Linked DNA regions of Mus musculus: all the other regions are reported to be linked to region 2. Evidence: microRNA targets listed by miRTarBase, many of them from high-throughput screens and not tested one by one. Region 2 holds a microRNA gene; each other region holds the end of a gene's coding sequence.

Evidence for each region. Region 2 holds the annotated microRNA mmu-miR-344d-3p (GAUAUAACCACUGCCAGACUGA, at 972-993, shown strand). A microRNA usually pairs through its seed, bases 2 to 8, with sites in the 3' UTR of a target mRNA and lowers its output. Matches are read on the target gene's strand: a 7mer-m8 pairs with bases 2 to 8, a 7mer-A1 pairs with bases 2 to 7 and ends in A, and an 8mer does both.
Region 1: the mRNA of Fbxl20 is a reported target of mmu-miR-344d-3p. The part of its 3' UTR that is shown has no 7-base or 8-base seed match.
Region 3: miRTarBase lists Ints6 as a target of mmu-miR-344d-3p. The part of its 3' UTR that is shown has no 7-base or 8-base seed match.
Region 4: the mRNA of Hoxa11 is a reported target of mmu-miR-344d-3p. Seed matches in the 3' UTR shown: 7mer-A1 at 1,380-1,386.
Region 5: miRTarBase lists Rragb as a target of mmu-miR-344d-3p. Seed matches in the 3' UTR shown: 7mer-A1 at 907-913.

Annotation. Positions count from the first base shown.
Region 1 is chr11:98,087,049-98,090,048 of GRCm38, forward strand. Fbxl20 (F-box and leucine-rich repeat protein 20) reads right to left here. Exons shown (of 15, transcript NM_028149.1): 15 at 1-2,650. The coding sequence ends at 2,543. Among named protein-coding and RNA genes, the nearest start is that of Stac2, 35 kb to the left of the region's middle.
Region 2 is chr7:61,724,036-61,727,248 of GRCm38, reverse strand. It overlaps Mir344d-3 (microRNA 344d-3), which reads left to right and starts at 921; the gene lies at 921-1,000. All of the region lies in intron 6 of A230057D06Rik (RIKEN cDNA A230057D06 gene), which reads left to right.
Region 3 is chr14:62,690,913-62,693,912 of GRCm38, forward strand. Ints6 (integrator complex subunit 6) reads right to left here. Exons shown (of 19, transcript NM_008715.2): 18 at 2,620-2,762. The coding sequence ends at 2,669. It overlaps Serpine3 (serpin peptidase inhibitor, clade E (nexin, plasminogen activator inhibitor type 1), member 3), which reads left to right. Exons shown (of 9, transcript NM_001199945.1): 9 at 1,155-1,331. The coding sequence ends at 1,198. Among named protein-coding and RNA genes, the nearest start is that of Serpine3, 29 kb to the left of the region's middle.
Region 4 is chr6:52,240,923-52,243,922 of GRCm38, forward strand. Hoxa11 (homeobox A11) reads right to left here. Exons shown (of 2, transcript NM_010450.3): 2 at 1,183-2,670. The coding sequence ends at 2,438. LOC115490410 (a long non-coding RNA gene) reads left to right here and starts at 2,313. Exons shown (of 2, transcript XR_003956437.1): 1 at 2,313-2,399; 2 at 2,520-3,000.
Region 5 is chrX:153,170,948-153,173,947 of GRCm38, forward strand. Rragb (Ras-related GTP binding B) reads left to right here. Exons shown (of 11, transcript NM_001004154.2): 11 at 269-996. The coding sequence ends at 366. Among named protein-coding and RNA genes, the nearest start is that of Rragb, 32 kb to the left of the region's middle.

The DNA of each region.
Region 1 (3,000 bases), not on the chromosome of region 2:
GGTATCTACATTTGCAAGTGTGTATGTGAGCTAGTGTGCCTAACTTTATAATCCTAGCAGTAAGGAGGCCAAGACAAGATTCCAGGCCAGCCAGAGCTACAGAGTATAAGCCTTTGTCTGGGGCGATGGGGTGTGTGTGGGGGGGAGGGGGGGTAGGAGGTACCCAGTCTGGGGAAGCAGTACTAGCCACGAGTCCCAGCCGCTGAAGTGGAGGGTAACTGGAGTCCAGGTGACTGAGACCAGTCAGGTGAGCAATGTAACAAGACGGTCTCAGAGGAAAAAGGAGATTTCTCTCAAGGTAATTTGAACATAAAGGGGAAAAGGAATAAAAACACAAGTAATTTAGCTTTCAAAAGAGCATAATAAAATAAGATTTTCAATAAGTTTAATACAATAAATAAATGTGGGAGTATAGCGTTCGAGGGCCTTCCATCTGATTGTTTTCTACAGTAATGAGAAATCCATCAGACTTTCTTCCTATATATTCTGACAGAACCTGCACCTATGGCATGAAACAGCCCTCCCTTTTAACATGCCAGGGTCACAGGCTTGCACACTCAGGTCCCAAAAGCCCCTCTCCCAATACTCTAATGAACACACACAAAGCTTCTACCATCGGGGTTTAGAAATATGCCTTAAAACTCATCTCATTTCTCCCATTCTCTGTGTGTTTCTCTGAAGAGGCTTTTTCTTGACTGAGCCATAGGTACTAACCTTGTTCCCTCTGCTCTGGTGTCAGGTGCTCAGGCTTGGTAGACTCTGAGCCCCCCACTCCCTCTCCAGCCTTGGTAGACTCTGAGCCCCCCACTCCCTCTCCAGCCTTGGTAGACTCTGAGCCCCCCACTCCCTCTCCAGCCTTGGTAGACTGAGCCCCCCACTCCCTCTCCAGCCTTGGTAGACTCTGAGCCCCCCACTCCCTCTCCAGCCTTGGTAGACTCTGAGCCCCCCACTCCCTCTCCAGCCTTGGTAGACTCTGAGCCCCCCACTCCCTCTCCAGCCTTGGTAGACTCTGAGCCCCCACTCCCTCTCTGGGCTCTCTGGCTGCCCCAGTGCTCCTAGCTGGCTGCTTTCATGTCCCCTTTCTGAGGAAGTCTGCAGAGACAGCGGAGATGCTTAGGTCTTCTATTAACGTTAACACAGCAGCCAGCTATTACAGGACTCTTCTTGTATCCCTCCTGGGATTAGTTGTGGGAGGAGACCAAGAAACCAAAAGCAGCCCCCCCCCCCCCCCCAGCACTGCTGCAAAGCAAGTAACTCAAGTAACTCAGACAGGCAGAGGCCACACCCACCGCCTGCTGGCACAGGACACACCCACCGCCTGCTGGCACAGGATACTGGTCATTTGTGCTGGAGCTTGGGTAGCCGGGAATCCAGGCTCAGCTTGGGATTCATCACCCACCCTACACACTGCTGCACTTCTCTTGTAAGCTCAGTGAGTTTAGAAGGAAGGAAATGTGGGGGTGGGGTGGGGCAGCACGTGGGGGACAGCGCACAGCGTGCAAACCAGCATACAGCATAGGATACAACAGAAACCCTAAGGAAAGTTTTTTTCCATCCAAACAGTCCGACTATTTCTTATCATAACTTTCCTGCTTTTGTTAGAATTTCTTTCCAGACTGGCAAAGATTCAGGCAGGGTCCCCTGATGGTAAAAGTTAGATTAAAAAAATATTTATTGATGTTTCTTTTAAAAATGTTTGGTGACCCCAACTAATTCATCCAAAATGCAAACTGTAAACACAACAAATAGCAACATAGTAACAATCGAGTGGGCAGCATCCTGAGGACAGACTGAAGGAGAGGGGGAGGGAGAGAGAGACAGAGAGAGAGACAGAGAGAGCGCGAGCGAGCGCGGGTGGCAGTGAGCGAGAGAACCGGGTGCAGTGACATACAGTGACAAACTGAGCAGATAAGAAAAGGAATTCTATTTGGACCCCAGTGATTTCAATGCAGCCGCTAAAAAAACCTCTGGGTCAAATACTCAAACACCAGATGAAAGGATGAGTTTCTCTGTGAACATGCTCAGCATGTCAGCACGGGAACAAGGAAGCCCACGAGTCTCCCAATGGATGGCTACCATTTCTAGGATGTGGAGAAGTTTTCTTTCTGGTCCCTGGATAAATCATATATTGTTTTCCATGCTACCTCTCACCTTGGAGGATCATAGTTACTGTTCCAAACCCCCCACAGAAACCCCTTAATAAAATGAAGAAACCACAGAAGCAGTAACACTGGGCTCTGCTGGAATGTCCCCTCCCTCTACCGTGGCCTGCGATTGTTTCTGGGCATGTCCAACAGGAATGCTTAGGTTTTACCAACCCACTTGTTACAGCCGGCATGAACTTCAGAGCCATGGTCCCAGAACCACAGCAGATGGGGTGAGGACGCCTGTGCCTGTGTATGTGCGGCTCTGGGGATCTGGACGCTGCCCTCACTTTGTAACCCTTGCCCAGAATGCTGGGGTCGCTTCCACCGGAGAGACTCCACGGTATGTCTAGAAGTGTCATTAAATACTCAGTTCAACATGGTGGGCCACCCCGCTGTCATAGGATGATGCAGCACCTGCAGAAGCGCTGTCTGCTGCCCCCGACTGATGGGGGCGGAGTGACAGGGGCGAAGTAGGCGTGGACTTTAATGTTGGGTAAATGGGTCTGAAACAAGACAGAAAACATTATGAGAGAGTGCTTACAGAGGGCGAGATCACAACGCTGCCTCTTAGAGAAACCAAGGGGCTGACTGCTGAGAGCAGGGATGCTAAGCTCCCCTAGGATGCACAAAGGCCGGGCTTTACTCTCTTCTATAGAGGGGAAGGGAATGAAAACAAGTTAATTTCTCATCTTGTCCCAAAGGGACTCCCAGTTAGGATCCCATGGCTGGAAGAAGCTAGGCAACTTTAAAACAATTTACTTATTGAATCAAAACATGTTTCTAGTCTTTATCTGAATACTTATGAGGTTTAAGACATGTGAGAGGGTCCAAAAGCGGGGATCCTACCTTTAGA
Region 2 (3,213 bases):
CATTTTTATATTATATGCAATACAAAAAAGAAATAAACACAATAGTTTTCATGGGGACCTTTTACTAGTGGCTTTCTCGAGACCTATATTTATTTCAGTTATTTCTACTCTGTCTTTAGCATCCAGGTCTCTGTGGTATAACCTTGATATTTACTAAATGTAGTATTTTCATTCAGATATTCCTAACAGTAGTAAACAATTTGCAACTATATGTAAATCAAAAAAATTATGTCTTCTTTATAAGCACAGTTTAAAATTTCCTACATACTATGTATTGTTGGAATTATCCAAAGTATATGAACAGTATTTTCAACTCTAGTTTTCCTCTTAATATTGTGCATATCTATGAGACACTTCACTGTCACTTATAAATTGAGTACTGGTGGAGCAGGATATAGGAAGAATATTGCACTTAGTATTCCAAAACCACTTTGATGATACCCTATTAAATATTGTTGTAATAGGAAAGGCTATAATCAGAGAAAACAACATAATCAATCACTGAGGGAGACATAGGCACATCACAATTATTCAGCAGGCAACAAAAAAGCCCAAAATGAAAGAGAGGTATTCTGGCAAACTCTCTGGATCTAAATAGAAGGAACCAAAAATAGGAAGTGCTCTGCTCAAAGGTTCTACTGACGTTTTTTTTTGTTGGTAATATAGTAAGAAGAATGTAAAAAACAGCTTTTTCTGATATCTTTTTATCAATATTTCTGCTTTCTTAAGGGAAGTCAGGGTGGAAGGGTTGGGGCATGAATCAGCAGCACTGATGAGATCACCATGGTAACAGCAGGATTTGATGTGCATGCCTAGTTATAAAATCTCTTTCCTGATTGGATCTGATGCCATTCTCTATTTGAATACACATTCTCCATCAATCAGAAGCAAGGAGAGCAAATAAATTTGTTTGCAGGGGAAGATTTCATCAGTCAGGCTAGTGGTTATACTCCAGGACTTATCTGGTCCTGGATATAACCACTGCCAGACTGAATGGTGCTAAAGAGAAGGGAGAGTGGAGAGTGCTGTGTCACTGTCAGCAGACAGAGCCAGTGGTAAGCTGGGAAGCCTGTGCTTATTTATTTCAGTCTCCATGCACTGGTTGCTTAACTCCATGTTTCATATCGTAGCTGTCACCCCCCTATGGGAAATTCAGGTATTTGATTTGAAATGTTACTTCCTTGTTTCATGTTGAGCTGTGTCTTCTGAAAATAAAATACAAAATTCAAGCTACAGCTTGTGACAGAGACTAGGTAATATCTCGCATCTTCACATCTTTCATTCAGCTACTGAGAGAAATCCTTTGGCAGTAAATATTCTCAACTAATCACCATGAACACTCAGAAAAATCCAGAGTCATATCATATAGTACCCAGAATCAAAGTACTCTTCGGAGAGTGATTCTTTTAACCTACTGCCATTGTTCGCAAAAGGCATCCATAGGTACAACCATAGTTTAGAGTGTTGTTATTGTTTTAATTCATTAGATTGTCTAGGTGGTCATTTTTCCAAGTCTGGCTTTTGCTACATCACAGTTCACGGGGGGTCAGGAGCCCTTTAAGGGAATCACAAGATCATATTTTGCTGACCTCTATCTTGGTATTACAGCATGTAAAAGAAGAAAATGAAGACAGTTATTTTCATAGTGACCTTGTACTAGTGGATACCTCTAGACCTATATGCTTTTCTGGTCATTTGCATTCTGTCTTTAGTGATCCAGTTTTTGTGGTATAACCTAGATATTTATGAAATTCTCTTACTGTGGTGAAGATATTCCTGACAGTCTTAAATGCCTTATAACTATACATGCATCAGAAAATATCCTGGCACCTTACAACCCCATTAATTGTACCAAATACATCATATAAACATTGTTTTTAGCACTGAATTCCACCACATAGTGTGGAATTATATGAGACACTCCAGCATTTCATACAAACTAAGTATGCTTGGAGAAATCCATGGGCAGAATGTGGCACTATAATTCTAAAAGCTCTCTTATGCTTACAATATTAGATATTACATTTTCTAAGAAATTCTATAATCAGAGTTTACAACAGAAGCAATTAGTGAAGGAGACACAGAAATCCTGGTATTAGTTAGCAAGCAGAAAATTTGCATGGTAAAAGTAACAGTCTTTTTGGTTCAAAAAGAAACAGAACATCTTTGGCAAATGGCTTGGATCTAGGCAATAGAAGCCACAAATAGGAACATCTACAGGATTTCACTGACTTGTATTTCTCTTGGTCATAGTAGATAGAAGTAGTTAAAAATAGTTTTTCTGCCACTCACTTTTGGTTTTTCTACTTCCATAAGGAAACTTAGGGAAGAGGCAGGGGGTAAGAAATGAATCAACAGACTGATAGAGTTCTCCAATATTACAGCAAGTTTTGATGTCCATGCCTAGATATGATATTTCTCTCCTGATTGGGCCTGTTTCCATTCTCAATTTGAATGCACATTCTCAATCTATTAGAAGAAATAGAGCAAATATATTTGTCTGCAAGGGGAGATATGGTCAATTAGGCTGCTGGCTAAGTTCAAGGATTTTTATTTCTTTATATTGGTTTCTTTTCATTATTTACAATTCAAATGTTATTCCTATTCCAGGTCTCACTTTAAGAAATCCCCATTCCTATCTCCTGTCCCCTTGCCTCTATGGGAGTGGGCCCGCAGCACCTACAATCCTGGCACTTCCCTACACTGGGGCATCAAACACCCTCATGCCAAAGGACCACTCCTTGTACTGAGGTCCATCAAGTCCATCCTCTGCCACATATGCAGCCATATCCCTGGGTCCCTCCATGTGTTTTCTTTGGTTGGTGGTCTAGTCTCCTAGAAATTCCTGGGTGTGGGTTGTTGATACTGTAGCTCCCACCATGAAGATGCAAAGGCCTATAGATCCTTCAGTCCCTTCTGTCACTCCTCCATTGATTTAAAACTTTTTTGCTGCTATCCACGTTCAATTTTTTTATATTTCCATAAGGGAACCCAGGGAGGAGGATTTGATGTACGAATCAGCAGCACTGATGGAGATCTCCAAGATTTCAGCAGGATTTGATGTCCAATCCTAGATATGAGATTACTCTCCTGATTGGATCAGATTCATTTATCATTTGAATGCATCAATCAAAAGCAAGGAGAGCAAATAAACTTGTCTTCTGGGAAGAATTTGAACCGTCAAACTGTTCGCTATATTCCAGGACTTAGCTG
Region 3 (3,000 bases), not on the chromosome of region 2:
TAATAAAAAAACCAGTTCCCTAACTCACCAGTCTCCGTCCTTGTAGCTTTTTAGTTTTCTGGATGATGGTTGTTCACATTACCCAAGGCAAAGTGGATAATTTTCTGATATCACTTAAGGGATTTTTAAATCCCTTAGACCCTTCAGCTGGGGCTAGAAGATGGCCATGGTTAAGAGCATTTGCTTCCCAGCACCCACATGGAAACTCCTAGGAGTCTGCAGCTCCAGTTCCAGGGAATCTCACACTCTCTTCTCTTTGGGCTTCTACAAGCACTAGGCCCGCATGTAGTGCACTTACATACATGTAGACAAAACTCTTAAAATAAAAATAACCTAAAAAAAGTCTCGGCCTTCACTGTTAAAAGCTTACAAGTCTTATACTGATGAATGAATCAACTAACAAATAGGACACATAGGGGAACATTAAGGAAAATTAGAACTCTAACATTAACCCTTTGGAGAGCACTTGTCCAACACAACATCATTCCACGATCTCAAAGAATAAAATACCCATCCCCAAATATATCCTCCCTTGCCTTGGCTAACAAGGATTCTGTAGAAACTTCACTAGCTTGACTAACTTGCCCACCATCTTTGAAAGGCAAAAGCCTGAGGTGGATGGAATCTTAAGCTTTAGTTTTTGATAGGCTGCAAATTTTCAGACTAAGTTTTAGTATTAGAAATGTAAACAGTATTATGCCAGACAGAGAAAGGAACAGAGAGGAGGAGTGGGGAAAGGGAGAAGGGTAGAACACAGACACAGAAGATCCTGTTATTTTACACTCCTTGGGGGTTCATTTTGGAAATTGTAGTAAAGGAAGAAGATCTGAGAATTATTCCACCATGCTTATGACATAAAGACCCTTCCAAGGACAGCCCCCATGTGCTGACTAAATATAATTCCTATCTAAATGACTCCAGTGTTCCCACTGATCTCACTCTTAATACACATAATTCACAACCACAAAGTTAATCTGGATTTTGTATAGTTTGGTATAAATTTAGCAGTGTGATTACAGGCAATTATTTTAATAATTCCATCTCTAAATTATATCTTCATTTACTTCCAGAAATTGTGAAGACGTTAGAAATGTTTAATGAATTGTTTTATGAAAATACCACAAGTCACATGAAATGTTTCTTTTTCTTTACAGGGTTTGTCTTCAGTATCGGAAGAGTTTCAAATCCCCTTGACTAAAATAGCAGACCTCAAGAATGTTTTCTCTATGTATGCTTTCCTTCATAAATATTTACAATTTCTTTTAAGAGTATGTGATTTCCAAATATTATTAATCTAAAAATAATTCAATTAAAAAAATAATTTAAAGGGTATTTTTTTTCACCTTGGTTATTCCAAATCTAAAAACTCTAACCTTTTCTACTGGTTCCCTCCAAACCACTAAAAGGCACGGCAGTGATCTATGAATATGTGCATGAGTCAGGACACATGGTCACATCCTTAGTAAAGATGTGCAGCCCTGTGAGGATGGAGAATGGAGTGCCAGATATCCTCATCCTGTGCAAATAAGGGGGAAAGAAATGAGTACAGCCGTCTAAGTCTGTTTCCTCTCCAGTTAGATTCTGAGAATCAGGGAGCAGAACCAAGAGATCCACTCTGAATTATCATATTATAAACTCACCTAAGCATCGGGGGAGGGAGGGGACCAAATGTCGGCATACTAGCCTTCTCCAAATATGATATACCCTAAAGCTATCACACCTTAACTAACAGCTAGAGTGCCATCTAAATCCTGTAAGAAAGGTTGAAAGGTGTTAAGAAGCCAATAATGCCCCAACTCATCTACTTTTAAAACTGTTTTTAAAAAAAACTGCCCATCTGTCTATCTGCCACAGACCTAGTAAGTATTACCATTATCCAGGCAAGAGTGGAGTATATTGGCATGGCCAACAAAAACTAAGAACATATAATAGTTAAAAAGACAATGCAGGCTATGTAACATATAATTACATTAGTTTAACAAATATTAAGTTGTGTATTTTTTAATGCTAAAAAGCAAGGCCTTTAAAATTCCATTGTTTTAGAATGTTTTTAAGTAGTTACTTTAAATGTGATTATTTCCTAAACCACACAAGAGTAAAATAGAGCATTTATTGATGGAATAACAAAAGTGCTTTTCTTAAATATTCTTCAAAATACATTTGTACAACTTACAATAATATATCCAAAATAACTGTATATACAAAACATTACCTAGTTTTTAATGTATGTGCTTTTTTTCCCCAAAAATTACAAAGTAACTTGTTTTTAATTTTTTTTCTTTTTTTTTCTTTTTTTGGCAAAGTTCAACCTTAACAGAGCTGACAATTTTAAAGGTTGGTTTAAGAAAATATAACCTGAGGGAAACTGACACGCAAGAGCCAATGACAAGCAGAGGATTTGAAGAATAGTTTTAGTTGGTTAAAAAAAAGAAAGAAAGAAAAAGAAAAAAGGGAAGAAAGAAAAAAAATTTGTGATACTTTTCACTTTACAAAAGTAAGCTAAAATGAAAAGGGCACTGTAAAATGATGGAAAGGAACTGTAGAATGTTTTTAGTATCTCAAATAGCCAACAATGCATGTCAAAGAATGAATACAAGATTACAACAGTCTTGTATTTACTTTGTATTTGGAGAAGACAATGAAATAAGTGGCCTCATTCTATTTTCTTTTAATTGCTATTAATATGGTTGATTTGATTGGCTCTTCGATGAATTTCATCCAAGAAGTTCTCCAGTTGTTCTATTAGCATTCGTTTCTTAAACCTGTGTAAGAAAAATAAGAGCATTCTTAATTACCTACTAATGAACAGTATATACTAGCATGTTTCAAAGAGAAAAACTGGCTTTGGGAAAGAGTCGTTTGTTTTAAAGTAAAATGAAAAAGAAAAGAAGGGGGTAGGGGGAGGCTAAAAGAAGAACTGTGGTAGGAGACTGGAGGTGTGGCAACGTCTGATTTGTAAATAAAAAAGATAATTAAAAAAAAACAAAAACCAATACGTAA
Region 4 (3,000 bases), not on the chromosome of region 2:
AACCGAGCTTCCCTGCCCGCCCCCTTTCGCCCCCCAGGAGGGCCCTTGTGCTTCTCAGTGTGTCTGTCGATCAACCAAAGACATTCATCTAGAGGGTCTGTCCCTCTCCCCTTTCAGAAAGCTCGCTTTCTCCACCCCTGTCGCGCCAGCTAGACAAACACACAAACAAATAAACAGGGCAGGCTCTTGGAGCCTAGGGTCTCTTTCCAAATGAGACCCTCTTTGCTGCTTTGGGTCTGCCTGGGTGGCTGAAAGAGGGTGGGGTGGGCAACAAAAGGCTCTGTCCTTTCTGCCCTGCCCCTCAAGGTTATGGGTGATGTCCAAATTTAAGGCAGAAGTTCAAAGGCAGCAAACAAAGACCGAGTCCGTATCTTTCCTTGCCCAAGGGGACCGAGAGGAAGCTGGAGAGGAAGCACTCTTAGAGGTTCCCGAGAGACTCCTAGCTCTGCCTTGGTACCTAGAGCCAGATCTCTCATGCTGAAAGGACTCACAAGGTACACCCAGAGGGTTTTTATTCAGTCCTGAGGTGAGCAAGATTAGCCTGGGTTAGGCCATTGGCTATTGCAGTTACCCACAAGGCCTTCTCCGGAGCTAAGGTCAGTTGGAGAGAGGTCTCACACCATAGGCCCTGACATATCCCATCCCTAATATGCTGCCTTCCACAAGGACGTATAGCCTCAGGCTTCCTATGCTTAGCTTCAATTGCAGCTCAATCCTGATTCCATCACCTCTCGGGGGCGTGGTAACTCACCCCTTTTACTGCTAAAAGGATGCTAGCTGAGGGGAGACATTTGGCAGGAAAAAGCGGAACAGGGAGAGAGAAATGTCACACCAGGACTCGATACTCAAATGTCTACCCTTTTTATTCTTGGTATGCCCCATTGTCTCTCTCTGTGTTAAAATGTATAGGAAATGTATGTTGAGTAAGGGCCGGCCAAAGGCGCTCACTACAGACAGAACCACCAGGGATTTCTTAAGGCAGGGAGGCAGAAGAGATTCATTTGGAGAGCGCCTGGCTCCCCAGAGGACATTCTCAGGTCTTAGTAGTCTGGCTCTCAGTATGCCAGCCCTTTCCAAATGTCACAGTGTTGTAAGAGATTAAAAGACCATCCCCAGACCACTCTCCCCAGCACCCTCAAATAAGTCAGCTAATGGGGATAGGGAAAGGAGTATTGAAACACAGTAGGTTATGGTTTCTTTATTTACAGTCTTTTGAACACCATCCCTGTATGAAGCATACATTCAAATATTTTAGCAGTGAGCGAGTTTAACCTTGGAACACTGTAAACAGATAGAGCCTTTAAATATTTTTATTATCCCCACCCCCCCCTCTACATTGCTTCTTAAAATTCGCTTTGGTTCCTTCGGGGAAATATATATATATAATATAATATTTATCTTTTAAAATAGCTCCAAATCACTCTCCGGCTCTTAGAAGATTGCCAGAAGCTTCCAAGCTCAGTTCTGAGTTGATGAGCACAGAGTGCAGGGTAGGAATGAGGGATTTGGGAGGGGGGGGGGAACTTCAGCCCCTCACAGCCAAAGGCCAAGGACCCACTGGCCAGGCCTGCTGCTCTGCTGCCTGACAGACACCAAATCCAAGTTTCCTTAATGTGGTGAAGAGTTTGCCAAACTGTAGCCCTCCGCAGGCATTTCCTGTAGAGATTGAGGGGCCAGGAACCAGCACAGCCTCTGGAGTTTTCAATGTCTTCTACCCTAGGAATAGTCAGCTCTGAGATGGAAGACCCATCACCACCATTGGGAGGTAGAAAACCCAGGTAGGCTGCAGAAGGTGGCTGCTAGGAGCTCAGGTTTGGGTGCAGATCAGTGGTGGGATGATATTAATGACATCTGGATAGGTTTCTCCTTCCTCCAGGACACCCCCCTCCCACTCTCTCTCCCTTTTCACAGCCACCTTTTGGTTAACTGTCTTTCACATTACTTTTGGAAAGCAACCCCAGCCTGAATCTCTAGGAGTCATCCCCTTTCCTCCTGCTCCTATCCCCAAGCTGAACTAGGCTTGGGGCACACAGTTTCTTGACTTGGGAGACCTGGGGGTGGGCAGGCTCTGTGCAGAGGGTCTTGAGCGGGTGGCCTCCTTAGGGTTTGGCAGGGGGCCCAATCTCCAGTGACCACACCCAGCTCAAAGCTTTTGCAGGCTCTAAGAGTGAACCACCAGGGGTCCCAAACCATTCATTCTGTTGATTCACAACCCTTAGAATTCAATTACTAATAGGAAGCTTAACCACGGAGATCTGAACCAAGAGAGTTTCAGGCCCCCTTCCTATTGGACGAATCTCTGATAAGGAAACCTCTCCTCTCTCCTATATCACCCCCCTTTTCCAAGTCGCAATGTGGCTTGACCTTGTCAAGGGCAAAATCTGCATATTATTTCACATGTATGAAGCCCCCCTCCCAATTCCAGTAGGCTGGAGCCTTAGAGAAGTGGATTAGCTGAGTAGTACTGTAACCGGTCTCTGTTAATCTTTTTTTCCTTCATTCTTCTGTTCTGAAACCAGATTTTGACTTGACGGTCGGTGAGGTTGAGCATGCGGGACAGTTGCAGACGCTTCTCTTTGTTGATGTAGACGCTGAAGAAGAACTCTCGCTCCAGCTCTCGGATCTGGTATTTGGTATAAGGGCAGCGCTTTTTGCGGGTGCGTTGGCCACCTAAGGAAGGAGAGAGGCAAAGAGTGAGAGGGCGATAGGGGTGCAACCCTCTCCCAGGACCCCCATTGGAGAAGGTCTGGCCACAGGGTCTGGAGGCCCAATCCAGGCCCTTTCAAAGTCTTTCCAGGCCCCTGCCTTCAGGCTTCTATTGCTGGTCAGGGACAAGTTGCAGTCTGGAGCCGGCTTCAGATAAAAGCCAGCTCACTAGATAGGCCCCCAGGGAAAGGACTCAGGCTGCCCCTTGAGCTGAAAGGAAGGCTCCTCACAGCAACAGGCGAGTTTGCGCTGGTTGAACTGCTTTGAACGGAGGCAAGTGGGGGTTGCGGGCTG
Region 5 (3,000 bases), not on the chromosome of region 2:
GTTTTATATTAGGTTAATATTTAAAGGTAACATAAATTATTGAGGTTTATTCTATTAGTCTCAAACCAAAAGATTGTGAAGTTTTATGTTTAGGATATGTACAAATCTGCTTTACAAATATAAATCCTTGATAGCTTGAGGCTTTCTGCTCCTATGCTCTGACACACACTGAAGGATTTGGATCTTTTAATTGATTTGCTTTTACTAGACAGACATACCTTTGACTGCCTTTCTTACTCTGTTGGGTGTCTCCCCACCCTACCCTCAGCTTCTGCAGCTACTCTGATCAACATCCGCAATGCCAGAAAACACTTTGAAAAGCTGGAGAGAGTGGATGGACCAAAACAGTGTCTTCTCATGCGCTAAACATTGCTGAATATTGTTTCACACAAAAATTGAAACACTGTTTCTTAATTTTATTGTTGTATTCATATATGTAGGATTTGAAATATTGTGATGCCCACCACGTCTGTATTTCTTCTCTACTCCCCAGTCTTAACGTTTATCTTTGAATGCTATTTATTCAAATAGCGTGAGGAGTTAGAAGATGAGGTGTCTATGATGTTGATGTAATGTATACGTAGGCGATATATGTAAGTGTTCTGATAACATGACTCTAATGGTGTTTAAGTGTTCTGATAACCTGCTTTTAATAGTTGTGTATGCCAAAGTCTTTCCCAGCACCTCTTGTATTCATTATCAAATATATACATGTAAGTTTGAAGTATTACTGTTTTCTCAGCATGAATTAAAAATATTCTGTAACTCAGCCAGGCAAGGTAGCTCATGCCTGTGATCCCAGCATTTGGGAAACAGAGGCAAGAGGATTGCTGCAAGTTTAAGGCCAGCCTGTCTACATAGGGAGGTCCAGGCCAGGGATGTATATCAAGATCTTGTTTCAAAAAATTATATATATATATATATATATATATATATATATATATATATATATACCTTAACTTCACTTCAATGTAAATAAACTTCTGCTGTTAGGGATTCCAGTGTCTGTGTTTCTTTTTCTTGTATCCTGAGCTTTTCACTAAGGGCAAAAAATTACATTTATACTAAAAAAAAATGGAACTTGCTTCCTAGGAAAAAGTATAAAATAAAGTTCACTAAAGAATGAACAGGGCTGGAGAGATGGCTCAGTGGTTAAGCACCTACTGTTCTTCTAGAGGTCCTGAGTTCAATTCCCAGCAACCACATGGTGGCTCACAACCATCTGTAATGGGATCTGATGCCCTTTTCTGGTGAGTCTAAAGACAGCTACAGTGTACTCATTATCAATTAAATAAATAAATCTTTAAAAGGAAAAAGAAAAAAAATGGAGACAGATTTTAGCCTCAAGTTCCAGGGAAGAGTTTAAGTGTCTGATATCTGTGATATCTGAATTTTACAGTAACAAGGAAAACACAAGAAGCTACTGAGCAGGATGGGTATGTGACTTCAATGTTTAAAAAGTAATTTATCTATACTGTATAAACTGACAGCCGTTGGAGATGCTATATTAGTAATCCAGGCCTGATCTAGATTGAAAGTCTCCAGGGCAAGCTCAGTGGGTCAAAGCCCTCACAGCCAGGCCAGGTGAGCTGAGTTTGATTTCCACAAACTATAGAGTGGAAGGTCAAGACTGTTTCTTGGAGGTTGTCCGTATGTGCCCACATGTATAAACATATACACAGAGACTGAATAAATAAAATGTTGAAAGATTAAAAGTAGTTCTAGGAAGCAACTAGAGAATGAATGAATAAAACCTGGATAGAAAGTAAGATTTACGAGATGAAAAATTTTGACGTCCAACAGTGGTTACTATTTTATTTACATATTCCAAATAGGAATGGACCTTAAAACATTAACTAGAATTGCCATAGCTTCAAACCTTTTCAGTTCCCATTAGCACAAAACAGGACACAAACATGTGTTTAGAGATACACAACACTATAGACTCATCTCATTGCTCCTATACTTCATGGTCTGTCTTCCAGGGCTAGCGAGATGGCTCAGTGGTTAAGAGCACCGACTGCTCTTCCGAAGGCTCTGAGTTCAAATCCCAGCAACCACTTGGTGGCTCACAATCATCTGTAACAAAATCTGATGCCCTCTTCTGGAATGTCTGACAGCTACAATATACTTACATATAATAAATGAATAAATCTTAAAATGTCTTCCAGTGTCAGGTGTTAGGATATATCCCTTTAGATTACGTAGAGAGCTATTGACTCAAAAATAATAAATAGATAGATAGATAGATAAAATAAATAAAATAAATAATCTAAATAAATAGATAGATAAAAGGAAACAACAACTAAAGATAAAGAAATATCTTCCAGGATCAGTCTCACACTGTCTTGGTTTATTATTCCCAATTGAGAAATAAGTACTTTTCATTAAGTTGAAAATACCATGTTTTTAAGTAGCCTATGTTCATATGAACTGAAAAGAACATCATGGGAGTAGTTTTAGAAGCTGTATTCATGCAAAGAAGAAATCTTCTAGGTAGATATTCTAGACTCTAAATAAAAAGACCAATAGAATAGAGAGGTCTGCTTTAGCCTGTTCTCATCTTTAATGTTTACAGTGGGATTTGGAAAGCCTTCTTTAAATACATAGATAAGATAATGAAAGCATGCATATGGCAATGTGGGTAGAAATAAAAAGGAGAAATGTGAAAATGACCCAATGAAGTGATGCTTTCTATACTAATATGTGAGCAAATGGGACAGTGGTTCTCCAATGTCAATATATACCACAATCACTTGGAGATAGCTCATTAAAGAGCATTCTTTGGGCCTAAAATGGTTTAACAGGTAGGAGTACCCATTGCTATTGTACAGGACCCAGGTTTGGATCCAGGACCACATGTACCCATGTGGTGGTTTGCGACCACCTGTAAATTGAGTGCCGGGGGATCCAGCACCCCTGTCTTGACCTCTGCAGACACCAGCCACATGTGATATATATATATATATATACATATATATATATATATATATATATATA